Arabidopsis thaliana: one gene and its partners. The protein of the gene in region 1 interacts with the protein of each later gene in a pairwise test. Each region holds a gene or a part of one and is shown on either strand. Other genes may lie near its edges.

Region 1 (3,757 bases):
CGTAAAGTCCAATTTCCCACTTGCAGCAAATTGCGCCTGAGATCACGTGATGCTTTCGTTCTCACGTGGCTCTTCTATCTTGCAACTTAATTATCACTTAAATCACTTATTGAAGAAGGTATTATTTCATCATTAAATTAAATTATCACTTAATTATATCACTGTTATTGTTCCAACGGTATTTGTTGACGGTTGGAGGTTTCGAGCATTATTAAGATGCTAAAATTGTCAAATTTAGTTTCAACAAAATTACTGAATTGAAAAGAGAAAACACTATTTTAGAAAACGTTTTTTTGTTAATGAAGTGTGTTAGTGGTAATTTTATGAAGCCACTCTTTCATTTTACTCATAACATCATCCATTTAAGTTCGGAGAAAATTCAAATGCAAAACATTTAGAAGTATATATTTCAAACATTTTTATTATAACAATAATTTTTCTTAACATTTCAAATATATTTATATTTTTGCGTAGAAATTTGAAAATATCACTTAATAAAACAAAATAATTTCTCTAAAACATCTTAAAGTGAAACGGAAGGAGTATAATAAAAATTGAATATACTTGCATAACAATTGGTCTTAAATGTTTTTCGATAAATCTATTTGTATAAGCATAGTAACTTAATGGTATAGTAGAAGTACTAATCGATCTCAGAAGGATGTTAACACTTTTTTTCTCAACTAATTTTCAACGACTGTTGCAAAAAGAAGGAAAAAACGTAAACACCGCAAAAATGGCAAAAAATGCGAATTGTGGCACTAAGGACATGTGACCTGGTTTCTTTGGCTAAGAACAAATGCACCTTTAACTTCTGCTCTGCATGGAATCTTCAGTCTCCACGTACGAGTCCAAGTGTCGTGCGAATGTTAATATTCAAACTCTACAATAATTATCATCAAACAATATAACCAATTCAAGTATTGATTTGTTTCCAAAATAACCGTTGTACTTATGCTTACGCAAGTCCGCAAGTTCATATTTGATATGCTTCTGTCTAGAACAGCTCTGCCCACAGTACTCCGTAGTTCGTCCGTACTCGCTACCAAGAAGAACAAATTCAACCGTATAAATGTTTATGTGGGTTTTGACCCAAAACACTTTGTCATAATCCTTGCTCAAAAAATCGTTAGGCGCTAGTCGAACGATGAGGATAGGTCTATCACCTAACAAAAAAATCAGAGATTATACGAAAATTAATCGGAAATTAAGTTTAGGGTTATTTAATATTTTTAAAACATATTCCTCCATTACAATTAAGAGAATTATATAACATTGTTTTTAGAATTGTATTAAACACATGAAAACAAGATTTTAAGTTCAAATTTATGATTTTTTCATACAAATTAGAACATAAGTTTGATGTTTTAAATTTGGATATTTAAAAAGTTGGATATTTTTAAATGTTTATCTTAAAAAATAAAAAAAAATGAAAAAAAAGTTTTGGACTAGGCATCCTCTAGACAGGTTTAAGCGGATCTATGATGAATAAATCAGATCAACGATTAATCTTTTCGATTTGGACAAAATTGCGGTAGACTCTATCCGATCAGCCGACTTTTTGAACAAGGGATTCATAACTATTCTTCGAAACATTTCACTAGTTACAACATTTATATTCAGTTTTTATTCAATTATTTTTTATACTTCTTTTTTTATATATATTTGGATCAAATATGTATCTTATATAGTGGGAGTCAAATACATTTTTTTAAAGTCAAATACGTTTTTTTAAAAGTCAAGTACATTATTTTAGGATTATTGATGTACAAACAATATTTTAATCTATCTTCATTGAACAAGCCCTCTATATAAACGGTGAGAGTTGGGTGGGTATTACCAAGGTGAGGTTGAGAGCATCTTCCAAAAGAGAGAGTGTTTGTGTGTGTGAGAGAGAGTGAGTGTGAGTGAGAGAAGAAAAAAAAAATTGAGAGATTAAAATTTGAGTGAAATTAGGGTTTATTCTCTTCTTGCTTTCTTTGCTTCGTTTCATCTTCAAACCAAAAGAAAAAAACTCTTCCATGTCCTGTCTATTCATCAGTCGTCTTTCTTGAGAAAACACAAATCACGATTTTCTTATGAAGTGTTGCTTTATGAGTTTATATTTTGCCAAAACTCATCTAAAACGACAAACTTTTGTTTAAAATTGTATTTGAAAAGTGTTTTCAAGAAAACGATATCCATCAAAAATATTATGATTTTTTCTGTCAATTAATATTCTTTCATTCTTTTATAGAGTTGATCAACTTCATGGGCATTTTTTAGTTCCCTCAAGTTTTGATCCTCTTATTTTATTTCTTTTTTTGTTGATAAATTTATTTTAGTTTTGATCTATGGAGGTTGCTTATTTCAAACCTCGTTGATCACTTTTATTTCTGTATAAACCAAAAAACCAGTCTTTGAATTTTTTCTAAAAAGACAGGTTTTATTTCTTCAACCATTTTTTAATTATAATTTTATATAATCTTGTTTTTTGTAGTACATTTTTTTTTGTATTTCAGGAAACTCCGATGGCGGATCTCTTCGGTGGTGGCCACGGCGGCGAGCTTATGGAAGCACTTCAACCTTTTTACAAAAGTGCTTCCACGTCTGCTTCAAATCCTGCGTTTGCGTCCTCAAACGATGCGTTTGCGTCTGCCCCAAACGACCTATTTTCTTCTTCTTCTTACTATAATCCTCATGCATCTTTATTCCCTTCACATTCCACAACCTCTTACCCGGATATTTATTCTGGATCCATGACCTATCCATCTTCATTCGGGTCGGATCTTCAACAACCCGAAAACTACCAATCTCAGTTCCATTACCAAAACACTATCACTTACACTCACCAAGACAACAACACTTGCATGCTTAACTTCATTGAGCCGAGCCAACCGGGTTTTATGACCCAACCGGGTCCGAGTTCGGGTTCGGTTTCAAAACCGGCTAAGCTCTATAGAGGAGTGAGGCAAAGACATTGGGGAAAATGGGTCGCGGAGATCCGTTTACCCAGGAACCGAACCCGACTTTGGCTCGGAACATTCGACACGGCTGAAGAAGCCGCGTTGGCTTATGATCGCGCCGCGTTTAAGCTTCGTGGTGACTCGGCTCGGCTTAACTTCCCAGCTCTCCGATACCAAACCGGCTCGTCTCCGTCTGATACCGGCGAATATGGTCCTATTCAAGCTGCCGTAGACGCTAAACTAGAAGCCATATTAGCTGAGCCGAAGAATCAGCCGGGCAAAACGGAGAGGACGTCGAGGAAACGAGCTAAAGCCGCGGCTTCTTCAGCTGAGCAGCCGTCAGCGCCACAACAACATTCCGGGTCGGGTGAAAGTGATGGGTCGGGTTCACCGACTTCGGATGTTATGGTGCAGGAGATGTGCCAAGAGCCAGAGATGCCATGGAATGAAAATTTCATGCTCGGCAAGTGTCCTTCTTATGAGATAGATTGGGCTTCAATTTTATCGTGAAAAATTAGGATTCAATTCATTTTTATTCATTTTAACTTGTTTGTATTTTCTTTTAAACTTTAGGGTTATTAGCTGTGCGTAAAATTTGTAATTTAGCATTTTGTATGAATGTAATGCAAGTGTGTAAATTATGGACAGCTCAAGCTTTTTTGTTCATGCCGTACCATGTAGACCCTTCTTCTTTTCTCTTAATTGAAATGAATATGGTTAGTATTACTACTATGAATATATTGTAACACATTAGAATCGTGAAGTTCCATTCTGCGACAGGACCATTGTGCTTAGCTTAGAAATGATTAAAA
Region 2 (3,757 bases), about 10 Mb from region 1:
ATCAAGGAAAATGTTAGAAAGTTTCAGACTTTATTGTTCCTAATTACAACTTCTAACAGAGATCTTTGCAAATTTGAATTTTTAGTGAAACTCGATCTATGCTATTGTTTAAAGTTTACACCTTGTTTTGACTTTTGTGGTCATGATTCATGGTTGTTTTGCTTCTGTTCCAGGGTTCTTCGTTTTTCGAGTTTCATGAACCTGATGGTAATTACATTTCTATTTCTGTTCATGCTGTAGGAAAGAGGAATTTTTTATGTAACCACTCTGATAATACCTAAGCAAGAATCAACTTCTAATTCTGTGAGTTATCTTAGAAAGATTATCTCGATCATTTTGTGGTATTCAAAATGAGGTGCTTACTCAGGTGCTAAAATTGGCAGTGTCAGGCTATGAATGAAGTGGAAGTGTTTTCCATTCAAAACGAAAGAGAACTCTATCCCGTAGGATGGATTCATGTATATCTCTCTCTTCTAGCTCCCTCCATGTTTAGTGATCTGTTTATCTACTTTGTCTTGACTTACTATAACGAGGTTATGCATATTTTCCAGACTCATCCTTCTCAGGGTTGTTTCATGTCATCTGTAGATCTGCATACACATTATTCGTATCAGGTACATCTCTGCTGTTTCCAAATTGCATATATACTAGGTTTGAGACAATTCTGATCTCAGTTTCCCATCATGTCATTCTTAGGTAATGGTGCCAGAGGCTTTTGCAATCGTCGTAGCTCCAACTGATAGCTCTAAGTATGTTCTTCCAAAGCTATGGAGTCAATTATACAGTCAACATATTTCCTTGATAGACTCTCAAACTGATCTTTTTGGCAGGAGTTACGGGATATTTAAGCTAACGGACCCTGGAGGAATGGAGGTACTGAGAGGCTGCTCAGAGACTGGATTCCACCCGCACAAAGAACCAGAAGATGGGAACCCAGTTTATGAGCATTGCTCAAACGTCTACAAGAACTCGAACCTTAGGTTCGAGATTTTTGATCTACGTTAAGGTAACGACTTCTGTGGACTTATCAGTAAAAAGGTTCAAACTTTATCCACTGTGGGCTAAGGATGTCAATAATAACCGTCATCATAACCACCACCCTAACCAGAACTGTATACTTGGTCTGAGAAGGCTGTCTGATTCGGGTTATGAACACAAGGTACCTTCTATTAAGCTTAGCAATGTTAATAAATTGTCATGTCCTTAGATTTGGATCAATTGGTTCCATTATGGAAGAACAACAATGACCATAGACATAAGACATTGTATTGGCGTATGCAATTGTTATATATCTGTACAAATGTATACATTGGCATCTATTTCTCCATATAACACTACATTAATATTATCACCATATTTCGCCATTTTATACCTCTTAACTTGCCAGTGATGACTGATGAAAATGGTTGAGCTTTTAAAAAGGACGGGAAAATTTTAAACTTGAGCTTTGACTTGTTAAAAAATTATTCATTTTGACAGTTTTCGTCTGATTCAAGTTTCATTCTTTTCATTTCTCATTTGATTGATTAATTAGATACAAAATAGCCATAAATTAGCTGTAATAATAATTTAAAAGGTATCTTTGAGCTCTTTTTTGGTAAAGACATATTCCAAATACCTCTCTTCACATGAAACAAGAGTACAAACCCCAAAAACAGAACCAAAGGTCCAAACTTTTCTTTTGAAAGTAATAAAGCTATCAAAGCTCTTTCCTTGTTAAAGTAAATAGTACAGAGGATGGGTTTTATCAGAAAAAAAAAAGCTAGCTCATTTCATATTGTTGAGTGTTGCTATCAAAACCCATACAGATACAGTACTTTGTTTTGCTTCAAATCCCTTTATGGCCGTTTTCAAGCACATGATAGCTTTCTTCGTACAGTCAAGAGTAAAACCTCTCTTTTTCTTACCCTATCTTCTCTCTCTACAGATGTCACAGTCACCTCTGTCACGGATTTGGGTACAGAGACTCGCAGACGATTCACTCTTCTTTCTTTCTCTCTCTCTGGGTTTTAATTCAAAAAGTGAAGTTGGTTACCATTGTCTTGTACGATCGTATATTCCCGATATGATTTGTTTTGACAGAGCAACTGCTTTGTATATATATGCCAAATATCTCTCTCTCTCTCCCTCTCTCCTTGCATCAATTTATAAGTAAGACCAAAAGAGATCACCAAAACTCAGGCTTCTTGTTTGGCTTTTCTTATTGTTGATTGAGAGAGTGAGAGTAAGAGAGAGAGAGAGAGAGAGAGAGTGAGAGAGAGAGAGAGAGAGAGTGAGATGATGATGATGAGAGGTGGTGAGAGAGTGAAGGAGTTTCTTCGACCCTTTGTCGATTCCAGAACTTGGGACTTATGTGTTATCTGGAAACTCGGTGATGATCCTTCTAGGTTCAACACACTCTCCGGTTTTTCTTTGTTATTTGTTCGTTGTTCATGTGAATCATCATCAGCTGTCTACTATTTTGTTTCAGTAGCAAAGCTTCCGTTTTTATGTATACTGATGGGTTTTTCGTGTTTGTCTTTTATCTTTGCTTTCTGAATTAGGACTTTTTTTTTTGTTTTTGCTCTGTTATTGGCTTCCTGAAACTATTTTGTTTCAGTAGCAAAGTTTCCATTTTTTTGATTTTGATTAGTCCTTAGTAACTTCTGGCTCTGTTCTATCAAATTTCTCTGGTTTCTGTTTTTTTTTTTTTTTGCTCATCTGGTTTTTGATTTTAATGGTTTATGGTTTGTTTTGCTTTACCATCTACCTCCTGTTCTTGGTTTTGTCTTGTCTAGTTTTACTAAAAGTTTGTGGGTTTTATGATCTTCATCTCGTAATTGGTATGAATTCCATTTAAACTACAGGTTTATTGAATGGGTGGGATGCTGCTGCAGTGGTTGTTATATTGATAAGAATATAAAGCTTGAAAACTCAGAAGAAGGAGGAACTGGGAGAAAAAAGAAGGCTTCTTTCTGTAGAGATGACCACAACAAGCATCGTATAAGAACCTTAGCTTGTGAAGCGCTTTCTCGTTTTCCTCTCTTCATGCCTCTCTATCCCGGGTATGTTTCCATCTATTCAACCCCCTTTCAAGTTAATTTTTTCTTCAAGAATAATATGAAGCTTCTTTCTCAATTGCAGGATTCATGGAGAAGTAGTGATGTCAAAATCTCCAAAGTGGTTGGTTAATTCAGGATCTAAAATGGTAAAAAAGACTCTTTTCGTCAGCCTTTTTTACTCGTTTGATCATAAGAACAATCTGATCTCCATGTGTTTTGGCAGGAAATGTTCAGCACTCGTGTTCTTGTTCCTGTGAGTGATGGTCTCGTTGAGCTGTTCGCTTTCGATATGGTAAAAACATGTTAGCATTTCGCATAGAAAGTCTGTCATTGGTTTTGGTGGTTACTTCATAAAATGTTGGTCTGTATCAGAGACCGTTTGATGAAAGCATGGTGCATTTGATCATGTCGCGTTGTACCACCTTCTTTGAACCATTCCCTGAACAAAGGCTGCAGTTCAGGATCATTCCCCGAGCAGAGGAATCTATGAGTAGCGGTGTGAATCTCAGCGTTGAGGGCGGCGGATCATCAAGTGTTTCCAATCCCTCCAGTGAAACTCAGAATCTTTTCGGCAATTACCCGAATGCTAGTTGTGTGGAAATTCTCAGGGAGGAACAAACACCGTGTTTGATAATGAACAAGGAAAAGGATGTTGTGGTGCAAAATGCCAACGATTCCAAAGCTAATAAGAAGCTGCTTCCTACGGAAAACTTCAA
Region 3 (3,673 bases), on another chromosome or scaffold:
ATAACGAATGTTAGTGCGAAATCTAACAACATTCAACCAAATGAAGGTGATATGATGGGCCAAGAAACGTGGGCTGGATTAGGCGTTATCAGGCTTCAACAGCTCAGTTAGATTATAATAAGATTAGAAGTCACGTGAGTGAAGAGACATGACATGTAATGTGAAATTACGAAGTCGAACACTTTGCGTCTTGGGGTAATCGTTAGGGTTAGGTTTCGTGTTCTACGAAGCAAAGAGCATAAGAGACAGAGAGGCATCTTTTGGGAAAGCGGTGGTCGCCGTATCTCAATTGAACCAAAAATTAACCAATCTCAAGACCGATCCGATTCTCTTTGTTCCCTCTCTCTCTGGGTCTCTTGGTGTTCTTTTAATCTTTTTTACTCTTTCCCGTTTCACGCATTTTGTCCACTCGTGTTTGGCGGCACACGACATCCTCCAACAAGATTATTGAATTGATATTCTTAAAACTCATCAATTTGATTGTTTTCCTTTTGTTGAACGAGTGAGGTTTATAGAAAACACAGTTGATATTTCATGTTTGTAATAAAATGAAATGAATGTTGGTAAATAAGATAATGAAACTCAAATAATAGTATATATAAACATAAAACGTACAATTTATTTATTCTTAATATTTTTTTTTTTAGTTGAGAGCTTATAAAATTAGTATAAAAACGTTACACATTTTGACGTACCCCATTACGATAATTGATCCAAAAATGGGTCGGCCGATCAAATTTAAAATTATTTGATACAAAACCTTACTTTGAAAGCAAAAAAAACATAGATCTGTTCTTGGAGATAACGTAACTTCGTTATTTGATCCAAAATTAGATAAAAAGAGAAAGAAGATAAAGGATAAAGAAATAAGAGCTTAGAGCTACAGAGTGTACTCATTTGATGGGTTCATTCTCTTTGTACCCTTTTTCTTTTAAATTTTAAATTTTGGTTGGAGTTTGCTTCTTTGACTAAATCAATAGAAACATAGAATAACTCTCACCAAGCTAAAGAAAGAACACAATGTAATTGCTTTAAAATCATTGCAAAGTATCTCACTTTGTCTTTATTCCTTTTTAGTTCACTTATAACTTGAACATTGGCTAGTTTTGTTCTTTTAACTCCTTAAAAGCACCGATCTTGGCGATTACGATCTCTCATGCTTGACCACAATCGTAACAACAATATTCAATCACATACAAAACAAATTTTTTGATTAAGGTTAAAAACAACATAATTATACGTCATATACAACATTTTATTTGTATTATTACGACTGTCGTTAGAGAGCCACTGAAATTGTAGTGCGGTGAACATTAACAGTGTCGCACACTATTTGAATTTAGAACATAAAATGGATTCATGCATATATGAGAGTATGACACGTCGAATTGGTGAAGCGAGCGATGACGTGTGGAAGAAGAGATTCGGAAAGAGAAGGAGCGTTTAATTTCGAGATGATCGTGATCAGAGAGAGACCAGATCCTTGGAAGACCGTGACATTGCCAGTCACGTGCCTCTTTTTTGACTACCTTCCTCTCTGCTGCTTTAACTGCAGATGTACTTATCATTTATTTTCTTACTTTACCATTTAAATAATATATCAAAACACTGTAGTTTGCTTAGCATTGTTAAACAAGACTACTCACTTGGTACTTGGTCGTGGAATATTATACGGTATGCAATGAATTTGCATAATAATCTAGATTCGGAGCAGTATCATTAATTAATTTTGTTAGGTTAAAACGTTTTGTTATTAAAAATCGCTTAGAACTGAACAAAAACCAACACATATTTAGAATATTCATTGCAACATCTTTGTAGACAAACTAAAGGAGCAAATTCACATGTAAATCTAAAGAACAAAAGAATAAAGCATAGATTAATCATACACACATAATAAGACCGGGACCAAATTTTCCTCTTTTGCCAAGTTCCCAAATTCTCTATAAATACTTCTTGTCTCCATTTCACAACAGCAACGTGGACTCTTTCTTTGTTTTGGCTGACTCTTCTTTCACCGTTTCCTTAGAGAACTTATTCATCTCATAAACACCACACACAACACACACTTCTCTTTCTCCTTCTCTCTATATATTTTAATATCAACTTTCTAGGGTTTCCAAGTTCATATATAGTGATGGGTTTCTCAATGTTCTTCTCCCCCGAAAACGACGTCAGCCATCATTCCTCTCCATATGCTTCTGTTGACTGCACTCTCTCACTTGGAACTCCCTCCACTCGCCTCTGCAACGAGGATGATGAACGTAGATTCTCGTCTCATACCTCCGACACCATAGGCTGGGACTTCTTGAACGGTTCCAAGAAAGGCGGTGGAGGCGGCGGACATAACCTCCTCGCTCGCCGTTGCGCCAACTGCGACACCACTTCTACTCCTCTTTGGAGAAACGGTCCAAGAGGTCCCAAGGTATTTAATATGTAACCTTTACATCAAATATTTTATCATTTCTTGATGTGGGACTAATATTTCTCTCTGTACAACAAAACAAATATTGATAATAACTTTATATGATTTTTAATTTGGTCAGTCGTTGTGTAATGCGTGTGGAATCCGATTCAAGAAAGAAGAGAGACGTGCATCGACCGCCAGAAACTCGACCTCCGGCGGAGGATCAACTGCAGCTGGAGTTCCAACTTTGGATCATCAAGCAAGTGCAAATTATTATTATAACAATAATAACCAATATGCTTCATCGTCGCCTTGGCACCATCAGCATAATACGCAGAGAGTTCCATATTACTCGCCGGCCAATAACGAATACTCATACGTTGATGATGTCAGAGTTGTTGATCATGACGTCACAACCGACCCGTTCTTGTCTTGGAGGCTTAACGTCGCCGACCGGACCGGCCTTGTCCACGATTTTACGATGTGATGAGTGATCATTTCATAGATATTCCCCTTATAAGTCTTAGCCTTGGATACCTTTTAACAAAAAAGAAAAGTCTTAGCCTTCGTTAAATTCTTTATTTTACTTTCCTTTAAATATAAATATTTAATGTCTTTTTTTGGTCTCTGTGTAAGTGTTTTTCTTAAATTTATAATTCGTATGATGGATGCTACTTGTGTTTTCCTTGCATGACTTTTAAAATGTTCTCTCGGGTAATGAACTAATAATTCGTGACTTTATAACCTTTACATGATGTGTGTCCTACTTTGACCACGATTCAGTGATATACTATACATATACAGAATACATATTCATTCCTTTAATTTCTTTTTAAAGCATCTTTGGGTTTTTGTACGGAGAATGTGAATATTTTGGGATGCAGATACTATCTTCACAAATACTTATATCTTAAACGTTTAATTTGTGAGTTTCTTTTCCAAATTGAAATAATCAAATACTTGGACCGAATTTGAAAATTAAGCCAACAAATATCTGCAGGGTGGCCAAGCTGAATGTTTGTCGTGTTTTGCCCAAATTGTCTTGGAAATTTGACCATCAATTAGGTCTTCGTGTGCTGCTCTGCTTAAAACTGTTGCTGCCAACTGCATGTGAAGAATATTTATCTTTTTCATAACGTGTTTAGTTATTGTATTAAAAAAACGTTAGTTTTTATTTGATTGTTTCCGGAAACACAATCCAAGATAATAAAGTGTTTTGAAACTCTATAACAACAGAAAGCGAGAGTAACAATTTTTTTTTGAGTC

What was found.
Region 2: the proteins of AT1G36060 (region 1) and AT1G10610 interact in a two-hybrid assay, tested with the Arabidopsis thaliana proteins (one large-scale study listed by BioGRID).
Region 3: the proteins of AT1G36060 (region 1) and GATA19 interact in a two-hybrid assay, tested with the Arabidopsis thaliana proteins (one large-scale study listed by BioGRID).

The regions. Positions count from the first base shown.
Region 1 is NC_003070.9:13,454,416-13,458,172, reverse strand, and holds AT1G36060 (Integrase-type DNA-binding superfamily protein), read left to right. Parts: upstream 1-1,836; 5' UTR 1,837-2,510; coding exon 2,511-3,455; 3' UTR 3,456-3,677; downstream 3,678-3,757.
Region 2 is NC_003070.9:3,504,186-3,507,942, forward strand, and holds the start of AT1G10610 (basic helix-loop-helix (bHLH) DNA-binding superfamily protein), read left to right. Parts: upstream 1-2,000; 5' UTR 2,001-2,277; coding exon 2,278-2,387; intron 2,388-2,693; exon of another isoform or gene 2,694-2,846; coding exon 2,847-3,044; intron 3,045-3,123; coding exon 3,124-3,187; intron 3,188-3,264; coding exon 3,265-3,333; intron 3,334-3,413; coding exon 3,414-3,757. Other genes in the region: AMSH2 (associated molecule with the SH3 domain of STAM 2), read left to right, coding at 241-303, 384-458, 552-614, 697-749, 831-1,005.
Region 3 is NC_003075.7:17,268,127-17,271,799, reverse strand, and holds GATA19 (GATA transcription factor 19), read left to right. Parts: upstream 1-1,800; 5' UTR 1,801-2,137; coding exon 2,138-2,425; intron 2,426-2,546; coding exon 2,547-2,894; 3' UTR 2,895-3,111; downstream 3,112-3,673. UniProt on the Arabidopsis thaliana protein: Transcriptional regulator that specifically binds 5'-GATA-3' or 5'-GAT-3' motifs within gene promoters.